Linked DNA regions of Macaca fascicularis. The protein of the gene in region 4 interacts with the protein of the main gene of each other region in a biochemical or structural test. Links are inferred from orthologs where the notes say so. Each region holds a gene or a part of one and is shown on either strand. Other genes may lie near its edges. The genes, in order: PPP2CB, PRKACA, PTPA, MAPT, HTRA1, CASP3 and S100B.

Region 1 (3,500 bases), on a different chromosome or scaffold from region 4:
CTTTTAACAAGTCCAGGCAAAGTATTGTCCTTTCAAATTAATCATGGCAGTGTCCAAAATCACAGCTGAGAAAAAAAGACTGTCAGGATTACACAGAGAAAGTTATAACGAAATTATATTCCCACAAGCAGTCTAAGAGAGAATTCATCACATTCTTGACAACTCTGGGCTTTTATAATTTAAGAATTATGGAGTTTTATTATATGTTTTATATTTATATTTATTTTATTTTTTGAGATGGAGTCTCACTTTGTCACCCCAGCTGGAGTGCTGTGATACGATCTCGGTTCACTGCCACCTCTGTCTTTCTCAGGTTCAAGTGATTCTCCTGCCTCAGCCTCTCAAGTAGCTGGGACTACAGGCATGCACTACCATCCCTGGCTAATTTTTGTATTTTTAGTAGAGACGGGTTTCACCATTTGGCCAGGCTGGTCTTGAACTCCCAACCTCAGGTGATCTACCCACCTCGGCCTCCCAAAGTGCTGGGATTATAGGTATGAGCCACCTTGCCCAGCCTTTGTTTTATATTTAAATTTAAATCAGTTCATGCTTTCAGTGATTATCTCTAGAAATTGAAATAGGAAATTTGCATAATTTCTTCTTATACTTTTGAATGTTTCATGATCTGTCTGCACTGCAGAAATAGCATTTGCTTCTATTTTCTTTTTTTGTTCTTTGAGATGGAGTTTTGCTGCTGCCCAGGCTGGAGCACAGTGCTGTGATCACGGCTCACTGCAGCCTTAACTTCCTGGGCTCAAGAGATCCTCTCACCTCTAGCTTCTTGAGTAGCTAGAACCACAAGCATGCGCCACTATGCCTAGCTAATTTTAAAATTTTTTTTGTAGAGACAGGGTCTCATTATATTGCCCAGGCTGGTCTTGAACCCCTGAACTCAAGCGATCCTCTTGCCTTGGCATCCCAAAGTACTAGCCACTGTGCCCAGCCAAGCATTCACTTCTCAGGGAAGAAGGTGTAATACACAATATAACATTTGCAATTACCATGAAAATAGAAATGCGAAGTTATTCATGGTAACCAGCAAAAACTGTGTGTGTACGCAGAGACAGTTTTAAATAACATCTTGCTTTACTAGTACTACACATCAGTGTCTTAAGCATTTATTTATAATGTTTATCGATATCTTAAAAAGCACAGCATATTCTTTGGTCAAAAGATTTACATACATATCTGAGAACAGGAAAATTTGCTGGTCCAAATGTACGTGAAACTTATCCACTTCCCTGCTTTGAAATTTTAAGTATAAGGGAAGGAGGAAAAGGCCAAGGAGATGCAGAAACACAGGTCATATGAATCTAGACCCTAGCTTACCAATAGTCAATCTTTGCCTTCATTTACCTCCCCTCCTCCCAAGATGTGAGCACACACATACATACCTGTCCATCTACTAAAGCTGTAAGTGGAAGATAATCAAAGAGATCTGTAAAATATTTCCAAACGTTGGCATTCCCATACTTTCGCAGACATTCATCATAAAAGCCATATACTTGGGTAATTTGTCGGCTTTCGTGATTTCCTCTCAATATTGTAATGCGTTCTGGATAACGCACCTGGAAGAAATGGAGTAAAACCCATAGTAAAATCCCATTTTTACTAGTGTCATGTGAAGTACATTAGTCTCCGACCCATTGTTAAACACGGCGCTTTTGGCCACCAGTATATTAAATGTTAATTTCATTTTCGAAATAAAAAATCTTGCTTATTCATAACCAGGTATTACTGGTTAACATTTGACATGTTTATTATAATCATCCTTTTTCATCATGTTTTGACCACCCTCATCAGAACCTTTGACTAATACTTATATTACTATAATAGACTTGTATCTGATACTTTGTTTCTATTATCTTTTTCATCATCAAATTATTATTACTTTCCTAAATCTTTCTAGAACACTATGACTTCTTACTGTGAGTAGTGCAAATCACAGGTTTGAAGCTGAGATCAACTACTCTACAGATTAACTTCTTCCCTTTTCCATTTTTATTTCCCACAGGAAGATCGGATTTGCCAATAATAACACAAAAACAGGCCCTTGACAAAACTGGGCAAGAATTCAAATGTATTAATAGTTTCCTTTCTATTACAAAACAAAAACATAAGCGACTATTTAGTTAGCAATGTGTCTGATAAGAAATATGAAAAAGCATTGGATTCTGCAAATTACGCAAAAAGCTGCAAGAATCTACTTCAGTTCATACAGATTTTACTAAGCATCCGTTATGTGTCTAACGTAAGTTTGGTGCTAGAAAGCCAGATGCCAGGTCTACACAAGTACAGTCATGTGCTGGGCAACGTTTTTGTTAACAACAGATTACATGTATGATGTTGGCTGGAGCAAGAGACTATACCACATAGCCTTTGTGTGCAGTAGGCTATACCACCTAGGTTTGTGTAAGTTCCAAAGATGACAAAATCACCTAATGGCACATTTCTCAGAATGTATGCCTGTAGTTAAGTGACCCATGACTGTGTAATATATGGCTTCTGCTGCTGAGGGACTAACCTCAGTAAGGAGATATGTAAAGTAAGTAATACAAGGCAGTAAGCCACTTTTGCAGCATAAATAAGGGCTGGGAGAATAAGTTTCCTCATAGTAATTTAGAGTAGAAGGAATAAGGCTAAAATGGTTGAAGGTTACATGAAAGAAGTGAGACCTGAGCTGAGTCTTGGCAGAAAGGTAAGAAATCAGGGACAGAGTAACTCGTGGGGGAAATCGAATATGGAAATACACAGAGTCCAGAGCACTGATGAAGAAGAAACTTTGATTTGAGCCAGAGTTCATGCTACCAACTGCCGGCAGGCAAAAATTCAGACTAGACTATAAAAGGCCAGGCAAGGAGTTTGAGTTTGTTTCTATAGGCAACAGGCAATCAACAGGAAGTAACAATAAAAAATTGTTAAATAAAAGAGATTTCATTGGCCAGCATATGCCAGGTGGATTTGGGGGGGGATCAGATCTTGGAGGCAGAAATATTAGTTACCAAGCTATTGCAACAATCGAATTGTGAAGTGATAAACGGTGTGGTAAAAATAGAAAGAGACAGGAACAGACTTTTCAAAGCAAGGATTTAAAAAGACTTGTTTATTGAGTCAATATGACGGATAAGTGATAAAGTCAAGTATGATTCCAAGACTTCAGCTATTCAAGAGAATGATACATTTACAAGGAATATACAGAAGTTATCCTTTTCATCTCTCCTTTAAAAAGATGTAAAACCAATTATTATTTTAAGGGGCTATAAACTGAAAGACCATAAAACAGATGATATGCAATACTGTCATTCTGAGCTTTTTGCCTGGTTTAAGTCTTGGAAAAAAAAATTGAATTTCAGTAATCATACCTTTAATGCTACAAGAAGAGTCACAGTCTCCACTGAATAATATCCTCTGTCTACATAGTCACCCATGAATAAGTAGTTTGTATCTGGTGATTTTCCACCAATTCTAAAGAGTTCCATAAGATCATGAAATTGACCATG
Region 2 (3,500 bases), on a different chromosome or scaffold from region 4:
CTTAAAAATTTGTCTTATTAACTTATAAGTTTACATATGTACTTTTATTTTATTTTTTGAGACGGAGTTTCAGTCTTGTCACCCAGACTGGAGTGCAGTGGCGTGATCTCGGCTCCGTGCAACCTTCACCTCCTGGATTCAAGTGATTCTTCTGTCTCAGCCTCCCAAGTAGCTGGGATTACAGGCGCACGCCCCCTTGCCTGGCTAATTTTTGTATTTTTAGTAGAGATGGGGTTTCACCATGTTGGCCAGGCTGGTCTCAATCTTCTGACCTTGGGTGATCTGTCCCCCTCGGCCTCTAAAGTGCTGGGATTACAGGCATGAGCCACCATGCTGGCCTTGTAGTTGTATTTTAGATAGAAAACTATAGATTCACTTTACATACAATAAAATGCACAGTTCTTCAATGCTCCATGCCACAAATTTTGACAGTTGTATACAGTTACCTAACCTCCACCTAAAACAGTATATGGAACTTTTCTATCACCCCAGAAAATTCCCTTGAATCCCTTTCTTCTTCTTTTTTTTTTTTTTTTTTTTCAATAATATACAGAGGTGGAGGCCGGGTGCAGTGGCTCACGCCTGTAATCCCAGCACTTTGGGAGGCCAAGGCGGGCGGATCACAAGGTCAGCAGTTCGAGACCAGCCTGACCAACATGGTGAAACCCTGTCTCTACTAAAAATATAAAAATTAGCCAGGTGTGGTGGTGCATGCCTGTAATCCCAGCTACTCAGGAGGCTGAGGCAAGAGAATCACTTGTTTCCAGGAGGCGAAGGTTGCAGTGAGCCAAGATTATGCTACTGCACTCCAGCCTGGGCAACAGAGCAAGACTCCATCTCAAAAAAAATACTGAAAAAAAAAATATATATATATACACACACACACACACATCTCTGCATACACACAGAGGTGAGATCTTGCCTATGTTACCCAGGCTGGTCTCGAACTCCTGGGCTCAAGTGATCCTCCCACCTCGACCCTCCAAAATGCTGGGATTACAGGGATGAGACACCGCGCCGGGCCAAATCCCTTTCTTGACACGTCACCTCCCCGCCAAAGGCAGTTGTCCTTTCTGACTTCAAACACCGTGCCTTTGTTTTGTCTGGGCGTGGACATGATATAAATGGAATCATTCATGTTCTTTTGTGTCTTCTTTTGCTTTAACATAATCAGTTTGAAATGCAGCCACGTTGTTGAGTGGATGCATGGGCTGTCCTGTTGGCAGTGGTGGTGGTGAGTGGAATTCCATTATATGACTATAGCTCAGTCTGTGATTCCATTCTCCTGTGGGTGGACCTACAGGCTATTTCCCATGTCGGGCTATCTAAGAATCAGGTGCCTCGCATTTCTGACAGCCGGACTGGAGTTGTCTTCCTCTGGGGAAGGCTCTGCAGGGCCACCTGCTGGACCATTTTGGGGCATGGCCACTGACATTCACCTCTCCATCTGTCCCCATCAGCGAGCCCCATGCCCGTTTCTACGCGGCCCAGATCGTCCTGACCTTCGAGTATCTGCACTCGCTGGATCTCATCTACAGGGACCTGAAGCCGGAGAATCTGCTCATTGACCAGCAGGGATACATTCAGGTGCCCACCAGGCCGGGCGAGGGGCAGCCCTGGGGAAGCCGTGGCCTGGACCCTCCCTTCCTGCCAACTGCCTGTTCTTGTGCCCACAGGTGACAGACTTCGGTTTCGCCAAGCGCGTGAAGGGCCGCACTTGGACCTTGTGCGGCACCCCTGAGTATCTGGCCCCTGAGATTATCCTGAGCAAAGTAGGCGCCTCCCCAGCCCTCCCCTTCCCCTGAGGCCGGCTCTGCTCTCCTGCTCGCCCCCTCCTCACCCTGTGCCCCCCCATCTTGCTCCAGGGCTACAACAAGGCTGTGGACTGGTGGGCCCTGGGGGTTCTTATCTATGAAATGGCTGCTGGCTACCCGCCCTTCTTCGCAGACCAGCCCATCCAGATCTATGAGAAGATCGTCTCTGGGAAGGTGAGGTCCGGCTGCGGGGACACAGCCCTGGAAGAAACAGACCCTCCCCTGCTCACTCATCCTACTCCCTGGGGAGCCCTGCTTGTTGTCAGAATAATCTAGAAGTTCCTTAAGTCAGGCCAGGTGGTGAAGCTGGACGCACCGGCCACACTGAGGCCAACACCTTGAGGCCCCCTCACTGTCCAGCCCCAACCCCGCGGTTCCAGAATCCCAAGAGCTTCCAAAACCCCAAGCCTCACAGAAACTTCTTGGCCGCAGAACACAAACCGCCCTGCCAGGCAACCCTCTTCGTCACTCCTTGTCCCAGTTAGTGTGAGTTTTCGCAAATTCCAAGGCAGAAAAACCAGTGTATTTGGTTCCTGTTCCCAGGTGCTGTCCGCAGCCTCACCAAGGAGTGCTCTCACTTAGCGTTTACAGCCCATGCTTCCTCTCCCAAACCCAGACTTGCCTAACTCTGAGGGTTCGGATGAGGGGTGCTGAAACCACCTCAGCTCACATCTGTGACAGGCGCAAAGTGCCTGCCATCCACCAGGCCCTAGAATCCCCCCATCAGTCACACCCTGAGATGGTGGCACCCTCTGCAGGAGAGGTGAGGAAACAGGCTGGGAAAAGGGATGTGTCTTGGCCAAGATCACACTTTGGTGAGTAGGTAATCATCGTAGGCACTAAGAGCAGGAGAGAGGTTGGGGACCCCACCTGTGCCCTCAGCTCAACCACCTTGCTGGGAAGACCCGACCATCCCCCGACTTGGTCCAGCATCTCCTACACAGGAGCTTTTGGTTGGCCCAGAGTCACGACACTGTGGTGGCAGCATCCTCAGGCTCAGCCTGGGCCCCAGTCCGGACCCCAGTCCCAGCTCTGCCACTGATTGGCTTTGAAACTTTGCATTTGGGTGCAATGGCTCACGCCTGTAATCCCAGCACCTTGGGAAGTGGAGGCTTGAGGCCAGCAGTTCCAGACCAGCCTGGGTAACATAGCCAGACCCCATCTCTTAAAAAAAAAAAAAAAAAAAAGCTAAAAATTAGCTGGGCGTGATGGTGCACCCCTGTATTCCCAGCTCATCAGGAAGCTGAGGCAGGAGGATCACTTGAGCCCAGAAGTTCAAGGCTGCAGTGAGCTGTGACTGTGCCACTGCAAACTAGCCTGGGTCACAGAGCCAGACACAGTCTTTTAAAAAAAATTCAGGCAAGTGGGGTACCCGGCTGGACACATAGCATCACTAAAAGGGAAAGATGAAGGCCTGGCACGATGGCTCATGCCTGTAATCCCAGCACTTCGGGAGGCTGAGGCAGGTGGATCACGAGGTCCGGAGTTCAAGACCAGCCTGGCCAACATAGTGAAACCCCATCTCTACTAAAAATACAAAAATTAGCTGGGCATGGTAGCAGGCACCTGTAATCCCAGCTACTTGGGAGGCTGAGGCCAAAGAATTGCTTCAACCCAGGAGACGGAGGTTGCAGTGAGCCAAGATCACACCATTGCACTCCAGCCTGGGCGACAGAACAAGACTCC
Region 3 (4,201 bases), on a different chromosome or scaffold from region 4:
CATGGGGCTGCCACCTGCCAGTTCTGAGGCCTTTCTGAGCAGCCTAGCTTGATGCCTCTGCGTGTTTCTCTGGCCACACACAATTCCCCAGGGACCATCCGATAAACCAAAGGAGCCTGACCAACTAACTGGACAGGGTCGGAGAAGTGGCTCTGGCCTAAGCGTGCGACGGGTGTGTGAGAATAACTGGGAGAGTGAGCGCGGGTCTGGACGCTCCTGGTCTCTCTCCCCCACCGGCCTGTCTCTGGGTCTAAGGGTGGGGGTGCTAACTGAAGCCGGGTGCCCCCTGTCTTTCCCGGGTCGTTGGAATTGAATGCTCCAGGACGTGGGTTCAATCCCACTTCTGACGCTGCGCCCGAATCTCCTGCTCTGCCAAACCTGGGACGCCCGCCTGGCCCCACCCCACCCCACCCCACCCCACCCCATCAGCTGGAGGCCGGGTCGGATAGCGGCCGCAGGACGAGGTCTCCGCTCCCGGGCGCAACCGCACGGCCACCCACGCCGTCCAGGGCCCTCAGTCCCTGGCTCCGCCGCACTCACCACGGTCCTGGCAGCGAAGGCTAACATCTTCGCTGCCCGTCCGCGGACACGCAGTCCGCTCCGCCCCACACACCGGGCAAAGTCCGCGCCGCCGCTGCAGCGGCTGGGGTTGGTGGGTCCTTGCTAGAGCCTTCGGGCCAAGGTCGCCGAGTTACGGCCGCCAGCCGGTAGAGGCGGCCCCGCGCCCACCCTCCGGGCCGGGCAGGCACCGGGGAGGAGGATTCGCGAGGCGGGGCCTGGGCCGGTAGCGGGCCCCGAGCCTGCAACGGAGCCCGGGAGGCTGGCTGCGGGGCGGGGGCGGGGCCTCGATGGGGCGGGGCCTCGATGGGGCGGGGTCTCCTTGGGGAGGGGCAGGAGGGGCGGGGCGTCTCCCGGTAGCGGGTCGCAGTAGGCTGGCTGCGAGCTGGGGGCGGGGCCACGGCGGGTGCTGGGACAGAGGGGCGGGGCCGACGGCGAGTCATTGGTTGGGAGGCCCCGCAAGGCGTTGAGATCTGTGGAGTAGGAAGGAGGAGGTCACCGTCCAGCTGTCTCTCCCCCGCCCCCGCGTGTCTTCTAAGCTGTTGGAGGTAGCGGTGTGCACCTCTCCAACTCCGTCTTGAGCGTAACTCTTAGAGTGGTAGGAAAACACAACCGTGTTGTCCGGAGAATGTCCTCTCATATTCCTTGGATTAGGGTCACTACCACCCACAAAGATGACAGGTGGTACTCGGGGACAGGAGACTGCCCCGGAAAAACATGGCTGTCCACAACCCAAACTTGACGCCCCGCACAATCATGGCAGCCGCGGCGCCCGTCGTTCCGGCAGCCGTTAGCGGGCCTGGCGCTTGGGGGCCGTTGGCGCGCATGCGCCCCGCGCGCCCCGCACTGACATGGCCGTCGCCCGAGTCCGCGCGTCCGCCGCGCGCCGGCCGTTAATGGGCATGCTCCCTGAGCGCCCCGCACCGATATGGCGGCCGTCGTCCCTGGGGTGACTTTAACTGTCGGTTTTCGGTTATAGCCGGCCGGCGCTCACTTGTCTTCAGGAAACCCGGAGCCTTTGGTGGAGCCGGGGAGAGGAAGGGTGGGTGCAAGCGTGAAAGGCGAGAGGGGACTGCAGGCATCCGGGCCGGCTCCTGGCCGGAGCAAGATGGCTGAGGGCGAGCGGCAGCCGCCACCAGGTAAGGCCGGCGGGGCCAGGCCGGGCCGGGGTCGGGTAGGGTGAGGGCGGCGCCAGGTGTGGGAGGCTCAGGAGGGCGAGAGTCAGGACACGGAGGAGCTGGAGGGGCAAAAGCTGAGGGGCCCCGAGGAGAAACTGAGTTGAATGGCCTTAGGGGAGAGGTGGGTGATGGGGCACCGCTGGGAGGGAAGCAGGGGCTGCAAAGGGGTGGTGATTGGGGCGCAGCTCTGGGTTTTGTGGGAGTCTGGGCTACCCGAATGCCGGGTGGGCAGCACCGTGGTCATAAGGGGGGCCTTTTGCCTCTTTGGGCAGCGCGTGCCTAAGTCAGCCGTGAACCTGGTGGGGAAGTTGCCAGGGAAGGGGGCGAAAGTGATTCCGGAGGCTGCCGTGTTTATTAGTCGCTGCTCAGGGGATGGGGTGGTGCTCAGTGGGCCGCGCCTGCCTCGCCCCCAGTTTCAGCTTCCGCGCCCTGCTCACCCCTCATCCTCCTCCTCTCTGGTTTCCGTGACTGAGAATTTATTGAGGGAAACTGCCCGTGGTGTCTAAACCCCTAATTTTAAAAGGCTGGTTGTGCAAGGAGGTTAGTCTCTCTCTGGCATCCCCTTCGGTAACTCTTATTTACACTGTAGCCTCTTTTTAGTTCATCTCAAATAACTGGGATGGAGGTGCTACGGAAGGATCTTCTTAGAGACCCCTTTCATGGAGAAGGAGGAGGCTGGACTGGCCATAGATAACTTTTACATTCCCGACAGAGAGGCAAGTAGGTTGGCCCACCAAACACAGCTAATGTTTTGAAATCATTTGATATTCCTGCTATCCTGTCTCCAATTTTGTGGTCCCTGGGAAGATCTCAGGAGGGAGAAATGTTGAAAATCAAAAAAGGCATCCTCTCCATGCCCCACAAAAGAGATGAACAAAGAGCTGGGTTCTGTTTCTTAGGACATTCGAAACCAGACATTTTGTACAAAACCTCTGTGTGTGTGCCCTTAGAACAGGGGTGTCCAGTCTTTTGTCTTATCTAAGCCACATTGGAAGAAGAATTGTCTTGGGCCACACATAAAATACACTAACAGTAACTAACAAGAGCTGATGAGCTAAAAAAAAGTCACAAAAAGAAAAAAGTCTCATACTGGTTTTGTGGTTTTTTTCTTTTTTTTTTTTTGAGGCAGCGTCTCACTCTGTCCTCCAAGCTGGAGTGCAGTGGTGTGAACGCCTCCCGGGTTCAAGCGATTCTCCTGCCTCAGCCTCCTGAGTAGCTGGGACTACAAGCGTGCCACCATGCCCAGCTAATTTTTGTATTTTTATTAGAGACGGGATTTCACCATATTGGCCAGGCTGGTCTCGAACTCCTGACCTCGTGATCCACCTGCCTTGGCCTTCCAAAGTGCTGGGATTACAGGCATGAGCCACCGCGCCTAGCCGGTCTCGATCTCTTGACCTCGTGATCCGCCTGCCTTGGCCTTCCAAAGTGCTGGTGTTACAGGTGTGAACCACCACACCTGGTCTATGTTTTAAGAAAGTTTACAAATTTGTGTCCGGCTACATTCAAAGCTGCCCTGGGCTGCGGGTTGGACAAGCTTGCCTTGGAAGTTCTGGTAATGACTCTGGGCCGGGTGGCTCACACCTGTAATCCCAGCCCTTTGGGAGGCTGAGGCGGGCGGATCACTTGACGTCAGGAGTTTGAGACCAGCCATGGCCAACATGGCAAAACCCTGTCTCTACTCAAAACACAAAAATTAGCCGGGTGTGGTGGCATATGCCTGTGATCCCACCTACTTGGGAGGCTGAGGCAGGAGAATCACTTGAACCCAGGAGGCGGAGGTTGCAGTGAGCTGAGATTGCGCCACTGCACTCCAGCCACTGCACCCCAGCCTGGGCGACAGAGCAAGACTCCATCTCCCAAAAAAAAAGTTCTGGTAATGATATCAGGAGAGAGGAGATATAAGGCAACCACTGTTATCAGTGAGATGAATGTGTCCCTTAGGATGAATGGGGGTGGAGAGTGGGAGGAGAGAGAACCTGTGTCCTGAAAGAGAGGAAGGCTCAGGGAGGTTATCCATGGCTGAAAAGAGCCAGGTCCCTGAACATGGTCCTTTTTTGAAATTTGAAACAACTTTTGGGAACAGCTGGAAAGAACTTCTTCTTTTTTGTTTTGTTTTTTTTGGACACAGAGTTTCGCTTTGTCACCTAGGCCGGGGTGCAGTGGTGCAATCTCAGCTCACTGCAACCTCCGCCTCCTGAGTTCATGCGATTCTCGTGCCTCAGCCTCCCGAGTTGCCGAGGCGTCCACCACCATGCCGGGCTAATTTTTTGAATTTTTAATAGAGATGAGATTTCGCCAAGTTGGCCAAGCTGGTCTCAAACTCCTGGCCTCAAGTGATCCGCTGCCTCGGCCACTCAGAGTGCTGGGATTACAGCCGTGAGCCACCGCGCCCGACCAAGAAAGTTCCTCTTAACTCAGTGTAATGATGAAAACTTTGGATTTTGGAGTCACACATATCTGGC
Region 4 (4,230 bases):
GCAGTGGCCCAACCAAAGCGCCAACACATTTCAAAATGGAGCGAAATCGCAGAAGCGCGGATTGTGCTTTGTTCCCAGCATTGGGCTAAATGCGCTCATCCCCACCGGGCTCCCTTTCCTCCAACGGCAGCAGGTGACATCTCTGCTCGAGATGGCAATAGGCAGCCTTGACCGTGGGCTCCCCTTTTCCAGGGCCGTCCCGAGACCCTCACTCCATCTGGAACCGGAATCCCGCGCCCAGCTCTGTCTGGGGGCGAGGGAGGAGAGAAGATGCTTGAACTGACCCCTGAGCCGCTCTGCAACCCCTCGCGGTGGCTCAGCCATGCGGGAAGCCTCGCAGCACTCAGGCTCCAGCCCTCGACGCCACCGTCGAGGAAGGTCAGCCTGGTCCCGGGCGGGCTCTAGTTCCCCAGTCAAGCCATTCCCCGGAAATTCAGATCAACCTGGGCAGCCCGCGTGGAGGATTCAGCTCCTAGATGCTCGTTCGTCTCAGAAGTGCGCCCCCCCGCACCAGTTTTCAGCGATAGAATTAACCAGAAAACGGCGCGTACCAGGTTCATCACAGGAGGGCGAGGCTCGGATGCCTTGGCCAGGAGTTCTCCTTGCAGCCCCAGACTCGGTTTTGGGGGTACGGTGAACTTGGATACGGGTGAAATCCCGCATTTACGATAAATAATATTAATCAGTACAGACATAATATTAATAAAAATACACCCAAGGGCTGCCTATCTGCGGCCGCCAGAGGCCAATTAGAGTCTCAGGTGCAGGGGTTGGGGGCTTCCTCCCGTGTCCTCCAGGAGGCCAACTGGGCGCGGCCCCGCCTACCCCAGGGTCCCCAATCTCCCCAGGGAAGGGGTGGGGCCAGCCCCAAGGTCCCCTCTCCGGACGCCTGTGGTTCCCATGGCAATTCCCCCTCTGTGCCCCCTCCAGTGGGCTCAGAAAAATGGGTGTGGCCGCAGCACCAGTAACCTTATGCCCCCTCCTCACATTCTCCCGCCAGGCGAAGCAACAGGGCGTAAAGCTGGAGAGGCCCCACCGGGGCTCCCCACCCATCCCCGAATGGGTAGCCAGCGTCCCTCGTTGGGCAACCTGGTGTGGCTTGGCCCTCAGGACACTCGGGGTGTTGGGAGGGGCGTGATCCCTCTGCCGCCGCCCGCAGCGCAGCACGGAGACTCGAATCCCATCCCTTCAGAAGCTTCCTGGCGCCCGCAGACTCCGAGACGAGGCTGCGCGCGGTCACGCCCGTTCCATGCGTGCCGGGGGTCGGGGGGTTGACTCGGGTTCGTCGACCCCAGCAAGCCTCGAGATCCAACAATGGGCTCGGAAATGAGGAACGAAAAAGGAAAGAGGTGCTTGGGGGTGGGGGGAGGTTGGCTAAACACCCTCAGAATAAAAGCCAGAAACCAGGGCTGGGAGCGCAGATCACGTAACCTCTACAGACAAAGCAAAGAGCCCCCGAAGAAGGTGCTGGGTGAACGCCCCCAGCGCTCACGCCCGCAGCAGCAAAACGCCAAGATTTCAGCGCTGATTGTCCCCCTCCCTTTAATGCCAGGCCCCGCCCTGTCCTACGAAGCCCGGCCACCCGGTTTGGCATGGCACCGTAAAGACGTGACACGCCGAAAAAAGATGGCACCTCGGGAGTGGGAGGAGGCACAGCCTATCCTCCCCCCTCCTCGCCCACCAGGATCCACACCCACTGCCGCAGTGAGGGGCGAGCCCTGCGCGCCAGCCCCGCGCCTCCGGCAGGGAGCGCACACGCCGGGCACCCTGCGCGCGGAGCGCTGAGAAAGAAACCCGCCCCGAGATGCACCTGCAGCCCCGCGCCCGTCAGTGCATGGCTGCTGCTGTGCCTGCCCGCGAGCGGGGACCGGCGGCCGCCGACTCCGTCCACATCGCCAGGCCAGGTGACCCCTGCCTTTGCGAGCGTGCACACTGGGATCCTCGCACTGTTCTCAGGCACGGCGCTGCTCGCGTCTCTGTGCCAGGCGTGCGCAGGGGGAAGGGCAACTAAAGTGACAGCGCCTGGACCCCTCCCCATCTCCTCGATTCCTCCCAGCCCCCAAATGTCCCCTACGGGTTTCTGAAGGAGGAAAAGGGGAGGGGGCCGGCCCCCGCCTAAAATCAGGGGCAGTGAAGGCCCTGTCGGAATCACTGCTCGGGAGGTAAAGGGAGGGGCGTGCAGGGAGTCAGTCATCTTTTCTAGAACCCGATCCACATCTTCCTTAGGGCTGATGGCGAACAGCGGCAGGGACAGCGGATTTCAGGTTCGGTTTCGGGGGTCGTTATCGGACCCCTCCCCCCCACGCACGCCCATTGCGGCAAAAGACTGCGGTCGAGAGTGAAGGGCAGCCCCCTCCCCCAAGTCACCGCCGCCGCGCCCCACCCTGCCGGCACGGCCTCCACCTGGGGTCGGCGCGAAGCGGGTGAAGACCCTCCAGCACACACACACGCGCGCACTCAGGCGTGCGTGCATCCCTTGCTCACGTCCCTTTCCAGGCCGCCCTGGCCCCAGCCCCCGAGCAGGGGAGGCAAGGAGGGGCCCTGCGGTCGCCCCGACCGATGCCCGGCGCACGAAGCCCCAGTCTGTGGAGGCTGAGGGCGAGGGGCGGCGGCGCAGGGGTGCACAGGGGCGGACGGCGAGGCAGATTTCGGAGCCGCGGCGCTTACCTGATAGTCGACAGAGGCGAGGACGGGAGAGGACAGCGGAGGAGGAGAAGGTGGCTGTGGTGGCGGCGGCAGAAGGTGGGCGGTGGCAGCGGCGCTGCTGTTGGTGCCGGAGCTGGTGGGTGGCGGTGACTGCGAGGGCGCGCGCCGGCGAAGAGGGCGCGTTCCCGAGGCCGGCAGGCGGCGCAGGCGCGAGCAGCGGGAGCGCGAGCCTCCCCAGGGGAGGGGGCGGGCAGCCCGGCCTCCGCGGGAGCCTTCTCCTCCGGCCACCAGTGGGCGCGCGCGAGCGCCCTGCCGCTCGGCTGTCCGGCGCCTCCCGGCTGGTTCCTCTCGGCGCTGCCCTTTCCCGGTGCCCCTCCCCCTACGCCTCAGGCCGCGGCGCTGACCGCAGCGCGCACGCGCGTTCCATGGCGCACGCGCACTCTCCGCCTCCCATAGCTGGAGCCTTTGTCTCGTTGGAGGGGTGGGTGTCTTCCTTCGGGCCCTGCGGGGTCGGGGCAAGGCCAGTGACTCCGCCAGTGGGTCCCCTGCCCCTTTCCTTTCAGTCAGCCTGAGGCGGTGTCCTCTCCTGGAGAGGTCCTGAGCGACCTTCCACGTGGCCAGCTCCCCAGTCCGCCCACCCCGACCCTCCGAGTCCCGAAATCGCCCCCCTGGCTAAGGTCGCTTTTCCCCAGGCTGCTTCCTTTCTCCTTGCTTTTTTCCCATCTTTTTTGTTACTGACCAAGGTGAATCCTTTCCTTAACAAATTCACTTAAAGCAAGCTAACTCAGTTACAATACAGTAGAACTGTACTTTAAAAAAAAGTATTTGGATCTATGATGTATGTAACCGTGACGCTAGAAAAGAAATCTTAAATTAGACCAAATTGAAATAGTGCTTAACACATCGCAGAACATTTGCACACACAGTTATTTGTATCACGTCTTTTGAAACATCTTTATGCTGTAAGTAGAGTTTGAAGTCTGAATGTTTAAGGGCCAGCTGGAGATTGTCCCCTGGAAGAGGCATCTCAGCCTGAAACTGACCAGTGGTCCTCATTCTACTGGTCACCCAGGCCCCAAGCTTCGGCCTTAGCTTGGATTTTTCATTTCCCCAACGTCAAATTTAAGCCCTGGCAGTGGGCGGATTTCTATGTATGGGGGTTTAGGGCAGCCGTCTCCTCCTAGGGAGATGGGAAGTTGTCTTGAAGCTCCAATTTGCATGGTTCTTACATTATTTTTTAAAAACCAACATATGTTATAGATTAATAGAAAAAGCAAGTAAAATGCTTTATTCACACTGAGTTTCTGGAACTGACCTTTTTCTTTCTTTCTTTTTTTTTTTATCCATATTAACTTTATTTTTAAACAGAGGGGCATATATCCAAAGAAGTAGGAGTGAGAACCACCGTGGGGGCTTGCTGAAAGCGATCTGCCCTAGCCTTCTGACTTCAGAATGTCTCATGAGCCAATGGCCTGGGGATGGAACTGCCCCTTGATGGTGTACACCTTAGAAAAGTCAATGGAATTGACCTTTTTTTGGAGACAAGGTCTTGCTCAGGCTGGAGTGCAGTGGCACAGTCATAGC
Region 5 (3,500 bases), on a different chromosome or scaffold from region 4:
TGATAAACATTTAAAACATTATTTTAAAAACTTTTATCTGGCTCCTTACAGAAGCTCTCCTGAGCCCCTGCCTCTCCCACACGCCCAGGCCATACTCAGCATCTCCTCAAGGCCCTCCTGTGACTGGTTTAGACTGGCTTCAGTGCCCCCTGAGAATCACCCGCAATCAGAGAGCTCTGGTGCCTTTGCCAAGGGTGTTCCAGGGCATCTGAGAACTCACCTCTGCAGGCGAAAACATACTCACCTGGTGGTCAATTTTGATCAGTGCAATGTCTGCTTTCTCATCCACATCCTTGATTTTGGCTTCATAGGTGGCACCATTCTTCAGCTCAACTTTGACCCGGTGCTTGTTGGTCACCACGTGGGCATTTGTCACGATCAGTCCATCTTCCGACACAATAAACCCAGACCCACTAGCCACCGGCACCTCTCGTTTAGAAAACGGAAGCCTAAAATCCAAAGAAGTACACACTTAAGCCTGCAACACCTTAAAATGAACGCTTCAACACATTGATTAATGAATGGGTTCTGCAACAGCAACACACACCTAGCAATCGCTTCTTTATATATTGGGCTTAACATTTAAAAACTAAACAATCTGCCAATTTTTTGCATGCATCAAACAATTTCACTTACAAAATATTCTTAGGGAATCTCTTCAGAGCCCGAGGTTCTTTAAACATTTAGAAGGGTTAAGACTGTAGATTCATAGAGTCGAATAGGGCAAATGTTTGAAGGGAGACACACTTATCTTAAAGTAGGAAGATATTCAGTGACACTTTGACACTTTAATGTGTCTCAAAAAGAGCTCTCATGTTTTGCTAGTGGCGGTGAAAGCTTCAGAGGTTATAGGAAAAAGGAAGGCTCTCTTTACTTGCGAAACAATTCAATATGAACCACGGCAGGGGCGATCTTCTCCACCACGTCCGCAATAAAGTTATATTTATGGCGCAAACTATTGGGATCTTCCTGCCCTGAGAACAAAAGCAAAGAATAGATACTTAATGATACTCTGCTGTGGTCACCTAGAGAAAGACATGGGTTAGAGGAAGCCAAAATGCATGCTCAGCCTTTGGAATTCTGAAGGCGGAGTGAGCACAGTTCCCCTGCCTGGGCTCAGCTGCAAATGTCCATCGAACTCCCAAGGGAATGCCCACCCAAGTAAGGCAGTAAAATCCACTCATGATAACCTCTTTGCTCAGGTTCTCTGCTCTCAACAGAGTCACCAAAAAATCACCTCTGCTCTGGTGTCGAGCAGAGGCACCAGCAAATGCTTCTACCTCACACCAGCCTTTCCAAGAAGCTGATGGCCCAAGTATTTTTTGTTGTTGTTTGTTTGTGTTTTTGTTTGTTTGTTTGTTTTCTTTTTGAGATGGAGTCACGCTCTGTTGCCCAGGCTGGAGCGCAATGGTGCAATCTTAGCTCACTGCAACCTCCACCTCCCGGGTTCAAGCGATTCTTCTGCCTCAGCCTACTGAGTAGCTGGGATTACAGGCACCCACCACCATGCCTGACTAATTTTTGTATTTTTAGTAGAGACAGAGTTTCACCATGTTGGCCAGGCTGGTCTCGAACTCCTGACCTCAGGTGATCCACCTGCCTCAGCCTCTCAAAGTGCTAGGATTATAGGCATGAGCCACCGCACCCAGCCAAGGGTCCCTTTGTGATGTGGTATCACCCTCTGCCTGCGTCCCTTCCCTGAGTCCCCACCATTACAAAGAAGCAACCCTCCTGAGAAACACCGCAGGAGCGAAGGAGCACCGGGGCTTTTCTCTAGGAGAGGCTCACCAGATGGGTAGATCTGAGATTATTACGAAGAAACATGAAGGCAAAGGGGCAGCTCCTATCTTTCCCACTGACACCCCAAGGCAAGCTGAGGCCATCGTCCGTCCCCAAAGCAGTTTCCACCATGCCTTAACCACATGTTCCAACCCTGCCCGGGACATCCCAGACAAAAGGCATAAGAGGTGCCTTAAGACTGTGGGTGAGAAAAAGAGGAAAATCAAACGACCATAATGCTTTATACCTACAGTCATGCACCACATAACATTTCAGCCAACCGTGGACCATAATGCCATTGTTTTTACTGTACCTTTTCTATGTTTGGATACGCAAATACTCACCATTGTTACAACCGCCTACAGTATTCAGTACAGTAACCTACTGTACAGGCATGCAGCCTAGAAACAACAGGCTCTACCATCTGGCCTAGGTGTGTGGTGGGCTATGGCATCTAGGTTTGATAGGCGCACTCTGTAACATTCCCACAGTGATGAAATCGCCTAACGATGCATTTCTCAGAACATATCCCTGTCACTCAGTGGTGCATGACCGTTTATACTACAGTGAGTGGCCCCACGTGGTGGGCGTTTCCAAAGCCACTTTCAACAAAGCTGTCACATGTCCCGATGTGAGGCTCTCACCCAGGAGGGCTAAAAGTTAGTTTCTGTCGACCAGAGGTGCACACCCAAGGTAACTGATTCAGAAACAGGCTGCTAGAGATTCAGGGTTCTGGGCTCCCATTTTGGTGGCACGGGTGGTGGCAGAGGCAGTGTGTCCCTGGAAGTGCACCCTTAGCCTACTACTCCAGCTCCTAATCTCTGCCACCTGCTGCTACCTCTTAACAAGTCTGCTCAAGCAGGCTGGAGGGCTTCCAGGCTGGTCTGCAGCTAAGAGCCATGCACCCCATTCTTCCCCCTTGGAATAGCTCAATGCTGCACAAGCAGGCTCCAGGGACCCGCACTCTTTTGTTAGCTGCTCGCTACGAATTGACAGGAAGCTTTTGGAAACTTTCAGAGCAATTTCACATGGTAATCTTATGTCTGTTGCGTTGAAAAATGAATAACTGTGGCTTGTATTTCCTGTCTCATATTTTGTATTTTGTAGGTATTTTGTGTCTCATTTACCAACAGGCCTGTGTGCCTGCCCCTAACACACATGCATATACACACAGAGATGCACAGGCACACACACACAAACTCACACATACACACTATGCATACACACCCACACACGTACACACATAAACACACCCACACACATACACCCACACTCATACACAGACTGTCACATAAACACCTATACACACTTCCACACAATTCATATACTCACAGATGTGCACATACACACAGAGTCACACATATATACATACAAATGCACACACACACACACACACACTCACATACATGCCTCTCTTACCACTAAGGTGGCAGCCCTTCCCCAGGCTCTAGGCTGTAAGTAGAAGCTATGAGACGTCCCAGCCCTCTTGTGACCCATCACAGTTTCATACCCACTGGCTCCCACATCCCTACCACGCTGGGTCACAAGGGGCCATAGTAACCCAACTTGACACCATGGGGCACAGGGACATCTGGAGGACCACCTGCCTCTCCCACGCTTGCTTTCTCGGAAGTAAAAGCGCATCTGTGAACAAAGGGCCCCCTTCTGTCCTGGCCCCTGACCTCTGAGCTGCTTTATTTAAAGATTGGAATCATCTCTTT
Region 6 (4,191 bases), on a different chromosome or scaffold from region 4:
GATACATAAAACTAAGTATATTTCTGTGCAGAATATAGTCCCTATAGTCGAATAGGCGCAAGCGTTAGAAATAGGCTCTGCCATGGGGTCCCTGATCTGACTTCTGAATGTCAAGAACCTTTTGAAATCTGATGCAGAATGTCGTGCTCACGTGTTGGAGAATTCTTCTGCGAAAACGATTCACAGTTTGCTTCAGGGTCTAAAATGAGTTCATGACCCAAAATAGGAAGGGGATCAGTACGGCAGTGTATAGCACACCCTTCACGTAACTATTAATAACTCCATCTTAGGAAAAGACCCCATTTTATATTTCATAGGGCATTTGCCAACAAGGATACTATACTTTAATAAACAAGTAAAAAACTAGTCCGCATCCACTCAGGTAAGGACACAAACAAGCGCCCTCTTCCACTGTCAGTTCTCACCCGGACTCTGCCTTCGGCAGCTCCAAACAGTCTTAATTGACGCTGTCTCTGCAGAAGGACCTCTCGGGCCCAAACCAGGCTTCTTCTTCTCTTCTTCACTTCCTCTGGATTGGTTGTTCATCTCTTTGTCCTCTCTCTTTTTTTCCTCGGGATGTTAAATGCTACTTTGTTTGCTGTGGGATGCTTAACATGTAACGTTTATATATGGATTAAGTACACTACTGCGTACGGTTTGTAGTACTGACTGATGCGCGGAGTGGCTTGAGCCCGTGTGTCCAGCATGCGTGGACCTGCTTATTACTAGCCCGGCACCCTGGCGACAGGAGGCTAAGGCTTTTGATTTAGGGAGAGGGACCTGGGGGTAACCCCAAGAAAGGCCTCAGGTCACCGGAGGGGGGACGGAAATTACCGGAGGGCGTCCCGGCCCGCTCCTCTTCTTCTCAGAGCTCACACTGGGCAGCAGGCCTGGCCTTGTCTCCCTTCTAGGTCCCCGTTGGGCCTGGCGCGGTTTCCAACTCTTCCTCAAATTACCTCCAGAATCCCGCGCTGGGAGCGGAAGCCCGCGGACTCTCAGGAAGACCCAGCTTTCAAATCCGGGGCGGGGGAGCGGGGCCGGGCCTCGGGGGCGGGCCTCGGGGGCGGGCCTCGGGGGCGGGCCTCGGGGGCGGGGCCTCGGGGGGCGGGGACCCGGGCGCGGGCGCGGGCGCGGGCGCGGGCGCGGGCGCGGGCGCGGGCGCGGGCGCGGGCGCGGGCGCGGGCGCGGGCGCGGGCGCGGGCGCGGGCGCGGGCGCGGGCGCGGGCTGCAGCGGGCTGGCGGCTCCTGGGGCCCAGCCCGGCCCTGGGTTCTCGGGCGGGCGGGAGCTGGGGGACGGGCCCCAGGGAGGGGGCGCGCGGGGCCGACAGGGGCGGGCCGGGGGCGGGGCTAGCGCTGGAGCACGTCCCCAGGCGGCGGGCTGCTGAAGCGGTGCAGACGCGGATCGTAACGGGTGGCTGCTGCTGTGAGGCGGTTGTGGAAGGTGTGAGAAGGCTGTGCGGTGAGTGCCGCGCTCGCTCCGGGCGGTCAGCCCTGTCCCCGCTCCCTGCGTCCTCCCAGGCCCAGCGCCCGCCCGGGGACCTGGGCGGCGGAGCCTTTGTTTTGCCACCTCACCCGGGGCGGCAGCGAGCAGTGAAGCCCGGGGCCGGGGCCGGGGCAGCCAGGCAGCGGGTTAAGGCTTTTGATTTAGGGAGAGGGACCTGGGAGTAACCTAAGGAAAGGCCTCAGGTCATCGGAAGGGAGACCTGACCCGGGGGCGGGAGGCTTGCCTGGGGCCGGGGAGGCCAGGCAGCGGGAGGCCGGCCCGGGGGAACCGAGGCCGGGGCCGGGAGGTCGGGCACGGGGCACCGAACTCCGAGGGCCAGAGACCTGGCGGCCGGGCCTGGGGCCAGGAGGCCGGGCCAGGCAGCGGGAGGCAGCGGCAAGCTGGAAAGCAGACGGTGCTACCGCCGGCGGAGGAGTGGCCCCGGGAAGCGGTGCGGCGAGGGCTGGGGCGGCCGGGTGCTGACTGTGAGGGACTCGCCCTCGGGGCTGATCCTTCCAATTTTGGGCGAGGCTTCCGTCTCTGCTGCCTTCCATGCCTGGGGCCTGGACTATCCCGGGTTGACTGTGTGGTTTAGCTCTTCCAGAGAGCTAGTTGCAGGGTTTAAAATCCAATTCCTTTTCGGCCCTGCAGAGTTTCGTGAGTGCTCACAGCTCATCCCTGTGGCTGTGTCTCCGTGGCCACAGCTGATTGGCGTCGCCTTGAAATCCCAGGCCGTGAGGAGTGAGCGAGCCCTGCTCGCGCTCGGCGCTGTTGTTTTCAGTGGGTGTGCTCTGCACCTGCGTCTTTCCCCCATTCTCAGTAAGTGGCACCCAAGCAGGAAACCGGAAAACATCCTTCTCGCCCCCCTCTCGCCCACCTACTTCTTTTCCCGCTTAGTCACCAAGCCTTGTCGACCTTGTAAACGTCTGCCAGGTCTGTCCACGTCTCTCCATCTCCACAGCAGCCTCTTCCCTGGTCTCTCCACCTCCAGACCCGCCTGCTCCTTTGTAGTCCACTTTTCACAGCACAGAGGGATCTTTATGAAATGAAAGTCTAGAAAGCGCGTCCTTTGCCCTTAGGTTAAACCCAGCACTTAATACGGCTGACAAACCCCAGTACGTGTTGGGTCCTGAGTGCCCCCACCCCTCCCTATCTTTAGCACCGATTCACTTTCTGCACAGCAATGCTGACCTTCATAGCTAGTGTCTGCCACACCTCTGCATTCCCCTTCTCCCGCCATCACATTTGATTAGAAGTAAGAGCTGCTACTTAAACTTCTGTTTTCATTAAAACAGTTCAAGGTTCAATCTTCCTCTACTGTGTTCTTTCTGCAGCCAGCGTTCCCTAAGAGAGATGTGTCATATCCTCTGCAGTTGCTTGTTTACTGTCTTCCCTGCTAGATTTGCAAGCAAACTCCAGGAGGGATGGACTTGGTTTATCTTGGTGTCCTTAGAGTCTTTCACCAAATGCGGGCCCTGGCACAACGCAGTGAATGCCCATCCGTTGTGTTTTTACTTTTATGCCCTATCTAGAAAAAGTAGACCTGGTTTAGGATTATTTAGCAAATAATAGTTAGAAAAGAAATGGTAGAGGTGACATGGAGTCACTGAAACCATGTAAACCTGCAAGATAGCAGAAAGAGGGCCAGGAAAGGTGGTTAGACTAGACTGTATCAAAATGGGCTCAGCCACTGTGAGTGTGCGTGCTGTGGTTACATCATCTCTAAAAGTGAAATGTAAAGCTTAAATCATCTCTATCACAGCCCGATGCTTGGGCTTTGGTTTTGCTTTGCCTTTTTGTAAAAGAAGGTTTTTGAAAGTGAAAATATATTTTAGTGAATGCACGAACAGTTTATTGGAGTATGGCAATAAAACCTGTTCAGAGTAAGAGACATTAGACATTGTACCTAGTTAAATCAGGTTTGCTTTTGCTATCCTGAATAAAGGCCTTGACTCTTGCCTTTTGAAGAGACTGGCATCTGATATAGGCAGTTATAATGCTTCTTCACTGTTTTGCTTTCAGACCTCATTTAACACAATCTCCTACTGCTTCATCCCCCTACAAAGCAGTCTTTATTTTCATGAATGATATATTACATTGCTTCTGGTGCCTACTATTAGATGTTTAAGCTCTGCCCCAAAGATAGGAAGCACTGGTATTTGGGCCTAAAAAAAGATGTGAGAATTCTTAGATTTATATAATGTTCTTTCTCTGCATGTTTTGTTCTTACCGTCACATGTTGCCTGTAGGGCTTCTTTGCATTACAATAATGCAATCAAGTTACCTGATATGTATTGGACACCGTCTGGCATCTGCTTTGTTGAGCCACTTTTGAATGCCAGTGAGCATCGGTATAAGCCCTGCATAGAGATAGGGTTTGTCTCGTCCACTGCTTGATACACTCAGGGTCTAGTATAGTACTCTGCACACAGTTGGTGTTCAGTAAATTGTTATGGTGCAAATATCAAATGAATAGATGCTACTGAATCTGACTTTTGGCAGTTTCAGTCTTCCAGACAGTAGGGTTTCTTCAAGCGGTTTTAAACCTGAATCTGATTCTGCAAAGTAGTCATTCTTGGTGGGAGTGGTGAGCCTTTAATGTTATCTGTAATTTTTATAAAAAAGCATTCAAGATCCTCCATTTTACACTTATATAAATCATTTAGATCTGTGAAGGCTTTCCCGTTTTCTCCTTTTGTCCCTCCAAA
Region 7 (3,948 bases), on a different chromosome or scaffold from region 4:
GTTCCTCACAGGAGCCTGGGGCAGGCTGACCCACGCAAGACCACAGCTCTCGGCCCTGTGCTATTTCCAGGGCACACTTATAGATCCTGAATGGTAAAGAACTTCCTAGATAAAGCAATGACAGCAAAACAGCCGTGTACGCAGATATCTCGTGGGAAACCCTTTCACGGCCACTTCGAAACTGGGTTGGGAGAAGGACCTGATGCTGGGTCAGGCATCGGTTGGGGACCATGGACACGTTTGTAGAGTTTGGGCCAATGCTTTTGTGTAATTTGTCAGAAGGAACACCTACTTCCTCACTCTTGTGAGGAAGAACCCACAAACTGGCCCCCGTGTTCAGAGGCTCAGGTCAACAAGTTGAGGGGACAGCTGGACTTCTCCTTCTTCAGGCTGGCTGGAGCCTTCAGCAAGGGGTACACCGTCCACACGCCTCTGTAAAACAGCATTCGCACAGGACATCTCTAAGGCATTGTCCAACTCTGACAGTCTGTGACCTTCTACCCTGGGATGGAGGGAAAGGCCTTGGGATACAATCCACACATCATGTTTTCCCCTAAAAGTACCACCCTTTTTAGTCCCTGCAGACACTGGGTTCAGCAGCTTCTCTGAGGCAGCCCCGTTGAGCCCAGGGCCGACCACAGACAAGCACTACCGTCCACAGAACCTCACGCCCGGTGGGGCCAGACGTGGAGGCTGGCAGAGGAGAGAAGCTCCAGGGGCCTCTCCATTAGAAACCAGCTTGCAGGCCACTTAATCTCCTACGCTCAGCCTGTACTTGCAAGCTGCTTGTTCTTGGCTGCACATTTGCTTTGTTTGAATCAATTAATCCAAGTCTCTCTCCTCTCCCTACCCCCAACCTTGCCTTTAGGGGAACATCAATATTCATGTAATAAATAAATCACACAAAAAGCTGACTCCCCACTTCCTGCCCTACAGGCCCTTTTTTCTTCCTCAGCCCATGTGCAATCCTGGCTCCCAGCAAGTCCCCGGGGCTGCTTGGTCAATGCAGCCCTGTGTGCAGGCCTGGCAGCCCTGCCACCCCCGCCCTCGGCCCCCATTGGCTGCCATGGCCTGCAGTGGGCTGCACCAGGGTTCATCCGTCCTCCCTGGGCAGACGGAATAAGAGGCTGCCTCTGCCCACTAGACCTGCCGCCCAGGACCCGCAGCAGACACGAGGCCCGCAGCAAGGAGACCAGGAAGGGGTGAGACAAGGAAGAGGTGAGAAAGAGCCAGGCCAAGAGGATGCTCAGGAAGAAATGGTTGTTTTCGTTTGGGTGGAAGGGAATGGAGGGGTAGAAACTAAATGGTAGCTTAAAAACCCCCTTTAGGACAATTGGCAGCACTTCAGAAGTGTCAATAGGATGATGTGTTTTAATCTCTACATTATTGCTTCTTTGTGGACACCTGACTGCATCAGCCCTAGGCAGCTAGAGGTATTTTTCATAAATCAGAGAAACCTCAGGTCTCGGCCCAGAAGTGATTGCTGACATTTTCCCAGTGGTGCTACAAATACTACCTCTCCTGTAACTACTTGAAGAGTAAAGATTTTGCTTCCCACTGCAGCTGGAAATGATGGAGAACCTAATGCTAGTTTAGTCCATATCCTAAATAAACCCCTTTTCTCCTTGTTACTTTTTCCACCGCCCTGGGTAAGTAACTCTTCAGTTTTCCAGTTTCCCTCAGTTTGAAGTGCCAGGGTGACAACAGCCCCAGGACGCCACTCAGAAATTACGTAACAGTTACAAATAAATTGAGTCAAAGAAATTGGGGTTTTGGTGGGTTTTAACTTTCTTCAGTCTCACAGTTTCTTAGGGAGGTTGAACCCCTAGAGGGATCCTCACACGCTAGGTAACGTGTCTTTCTAAGGAGTTAAAGTTCAAATGTTCTCTTGTTCTCAATATTAAAAGATTAATGTAGGACATTCACAGAATGTGAGAAAGAAACATATTTATTTCCATTTCTCTTAAAAGATAAACTATAAACCATCAACTATTTATTAAGTCAAAGGGAAAAATTTAACAAGAATTTTTTAATTGATTTGTAGCGTGGTTATGAAGAAAACCATATTTTCTAGTGGTTTCTATTAGTGTTCTAATATATGGAATACATGTTTTATGCCTTCCTTTGTAATAATCTCGTTAGTCATAGTTCATAGAAAAACAATTTAACCTCCTTTTCCCCAAATCATCATGGACTTTGAGGAGCATCAGAATGATGTAAAAGTGTCTTGTTTTGTTTTGTTCAAAAAAAATACACACACATATATCAATAATTGAAAACTTGAGTGCAAAGAATAAGAAAAGCATGAAATGTTAAAGATTTTAATCCATCTTAACTGTTCTATTTATGAATTACCAAATTTTTAGGGACTCAAGAGCAAAATAAAGTACACTGATTATTAATAGAATGCCTTTAGCAAAGATCTAGCCAGCACAAAAAAATCTTCAATCCTGTTTCCTTTGGAGCATCAGAAATAAATAAAATTTTTAACATCTAATTCCAAATTATTTTTAAGATGTAAGTCATATATTCAACATGGGAATGATTTTTCAACACTATTTATTAATTTATTTTTAATTATAACAGTGCAAATGTTCTTATTTGATGATTAGAACTCAAGGCCAAAAGCTGGTAAATTTCTCGGCCTGCCCATCTGTTTTGTGAGACAACTGACAAGGCATCCTTTGTAGAAGGCGCCTCATTCCCAGACTGATGAGATATTTCCTTGGTTTGCAGGCTGTGGCGTAAGGTACTTGCTGTGAGGGAGGTCGGAGGGATCTTACTTTGACAGCTGCAGAGAAACACCTATTCCTGCCCCGTCCCAGTCACTGCAGTGAATGAACCAGCCTTTCCCTGCACTGGAGGTAGAATGCAGGCTCAGCAGCTCAGCTTCCTGCCGGATTCTGTCCCTCCCTGCCACAGAACCACACGCATTTAATCAGTTAAACTTAGGATACATTTTTTTTCCTGGTAGATCAAATAACTTTCACTGTTATTCTTCAAAAAGATTGTGGCAATTCTACCATATTTATTTTTCCAGATGAATTTTACAGCTGTTTTTGTCATGTCACACATCCAAAAAAAATTCCATCATTTTTATTAAAAATGATTTAAATTTACATATGAATTTAAAGGAAAAACTTCCTACATTTTATGTTCCTCCGAATCTCTTGGAAGGACCTGCATTTTTCTTCCTAAACTTAGTCTTAGATCACATGCTATTTCTATATGAATAGAATATTTCGCACTGGATTTTCTATTTCTTTATTGATAGAATATAGGAATGCTCTTGATTTTTGTCTTATTTTGCTCCTAGTCACTGTCTCACTTTCAGATTGATTTTAACAGCTTGTAGTCGATGGTTTGCTCACCTGCACTCTACCACCTCATCTTGGAGCCTTACAAGAACAGAGAGGGACCGTGTGGGGAGGAAGCAGAAATTTAACCCGTGAATTCCTTTGCTGCTCTGCGTCTGTATTTTTGCTAAAGATTCCCTGTTGGACCAACCCAACCAGAAGCCAGAGGGCATGGGAATATATCCCTGTGGCCCACAGAGACAGAGAAGGCTCACATCTGTCTAAGAGGCAGGTGGAAGGATTGATAAAGGTACAAATTCCCAGAATGCCCCTCCAGGTCATGCCTGCTGTTCTGAGCTTGAAAAGAGTGCCAGGGCCAGTCCATCCCCCTTGTCTGGGTTGCGGTCTGTATTGATAACCTGTGAAATGTTTTATGATGAGGTATAGATGAGAAGGCATCTTTCCTTTGCGAGCCCCTAGGATGTCTGAGCTGGAGAAAGCCATGGTGGCCCTCATCGACGTTTTCCACCAATATTCTGGAAGGGAGGGAGACAAGCACAAGCTGAAGAAATCCGAACTGAAGGAGCTCATCAACAATGAGCTTTCCCATTTCTTAGAGGTGAGTCTTGCTTTTTACACTTGACACCTTCTC

The links.
Region 1: of the proteins of MAPT (region 4) and PPP2CB, one has a biochemical effect on the other in vitro, tested with the Homo sapiens proteins (2 studies listed by BioGRID). The link is inferred for Macaca fascicularis from reciprocal best matches to the Homo sapiens genes MAPT and PPP2CB.
Region 2: of the proteins of MAPT (region 4) and PRKACA, one has a biochemical effect on the other in vitro, tested with the Homo sapiens proteins (9 studies listed by BioGRID). The link is inferred for Macaca fascicularis from reciprocal best matches to the Homo sapiens genes MAPT and PRKACA.
Region 3: of the proteins of MAPT (region 4) and PTPA, one has a biochemical effect on the other in vitro, tested with the Homo sapiens proteins (2 studies listed by BioGRID). The link is inferred for Macaca fascicularis from reciprocal best matches to the Homo sapiens genes MAPT and PTPA.
Region 5: of the proteins of MAPT (region 4) and HTRA1, one has a biochemical effect on the other in vitro, tested with the Homo sapiens proteins (2 studies listed by BioGRID and IntAct, with this or other methods). The link is inferred for Macaca fascicularis from reciprocal best matches to the Homo sapiens genes MAPT and HTRA1.
Region 6: of the proteins of MAPT (region 4) and CASP3, one has a biochemical effect on the other in vitro, tested with the Homo sapiens proteins (3 studies listed by BioGRID). The link is inferred for Macaca fascicularis from reciprocal best matches to the Homo sapiens genes MAPT and CASP3.
Region 7: the proteins of MAPT (region 4) and S100B form a complex in vitro, tested with the Homo sapiens proteins (2 studies listed by BioGRID). The link is inferred for Macaca fascicularis from reciprocal best matches to the Homo sapiens genes MAPT and S100B.

Annotation. Positions count from the first base shown.
Region 1 is NC_088382.1:34,010,167-34,013,666, forward strand, and holds part of PPP2CB (serine/threonine-protein phosphatase 2A catalytic subunit beta isoform), read right to left. Parts: coding exon 3,363-3,500; intron 1,569-3,362; coding exon 1,395-1,568; intron 1-1,394.
Region 2 is NC_088393.1:14,514,773-14,518,272, reverse strand, and holds part of PRKACA (cAMP-dependent protein kinase catalytic subunit alpha), read left to right. Parts: intron 1-1,460; coding exon 1,461-1,587; intron 1,588-1,676; coding exon 1,677-1,772; intron 1,773-1,865; coding exon 1,866-1,988; intron 1,989-3,500.
Region 3 is NC_088389.1:14,830,858-14,835,058, reverse strand, and holds the start of PTPA (serine/threonine-protein phosphatase 2A activator), read left to right. Parts: upstream 1-1,401; 5' UTR 1,402-1,666; coding exon 1,667-1,697; intron 1,698-4,201. UniProt on the Homo sapiens protein: PPIases accelerate the folding of proteins. It catalyzes the cis-trans isomerization of proline imidic peptide bonds in oligopeptides. Acts as a regulatory subunit for serine/threonine-protein phosphatase 2A (PP2A).
Region 4 is NC_088390.1:67,473,578-67,477,807, reverse strand, and holds the start of MAPT (microtubule-associated protein tau), read right to left. Parts: upstream 2,801-4,230; 5' UTR 2,668-2,800; exon of another isoform or gene 2,227-2,667; intron 1,981-2,226; exon of another isoform or gene 1,725-1,980; intron 1,215-1,724; exon of another isoform or gene 1,090-1,214; intron 1-1,089. UniProt on the Homo sapiens protein: Promotes microtubule assembly and stability, and might be involved in the establishment and maintenance of neuronal polarity.
Region 5 is NC_088383.1:131,482,672-131,486,171, reverse strand, and holds part of HTRA1 (serine protease HTRA1), read right to left. Parts: intron 975-3,500; coding exon 875-974; intron 450-874; coding exon 245-449; intron 1-244. UniProt on the Homo sapiens protein: Serine protease with a variety of targets, including extracellular matrix proteins such as fibronectin. HTRA1-generated fibronectin fragments further induce synovial cells to up-regulate MMP1 and MMP3 production.
Region 6 is NC_088379.1:189,420,444-189,424,634, reverse strand, and holds the start of CASP3 (caspase-3), read left to right. Parts: upstream 1-1,391; 5' UTR 1,392-1,459; intron 1,460-2,134; 5' UTR 2,135-2,302; intron 2,303-4,191. UniProt on the Homo sapiens protein: Thiol protease that acts as a major effector caspase involved in the execution phase of apoptosis. Following cleavage and activation by initiator caspases (CASP8, CASP9 and/or CASP10), mediates execution of apoptosis by catalyzing cleavage of many proteins.
Region 7 is NC_088377.1:522,227-526,174, forward strand, and holds the start of S100B (protein S100-B), read left to right. Parts: upstream 1-1,148; 5' UTR 1,149-1,218; intron 1,219-3,769; exon of another isoform or gene 3,770-3,776; 5' UTR 3,777-3,777; coding exon 3,778-3,915; intron 3,916-3,948. UniProt on the Homo sapiens protein: Small zinc- and- and calcium-binding protein that is highly expressed in astrocytes and constitutes one of the most abundant soluble proteins in brain.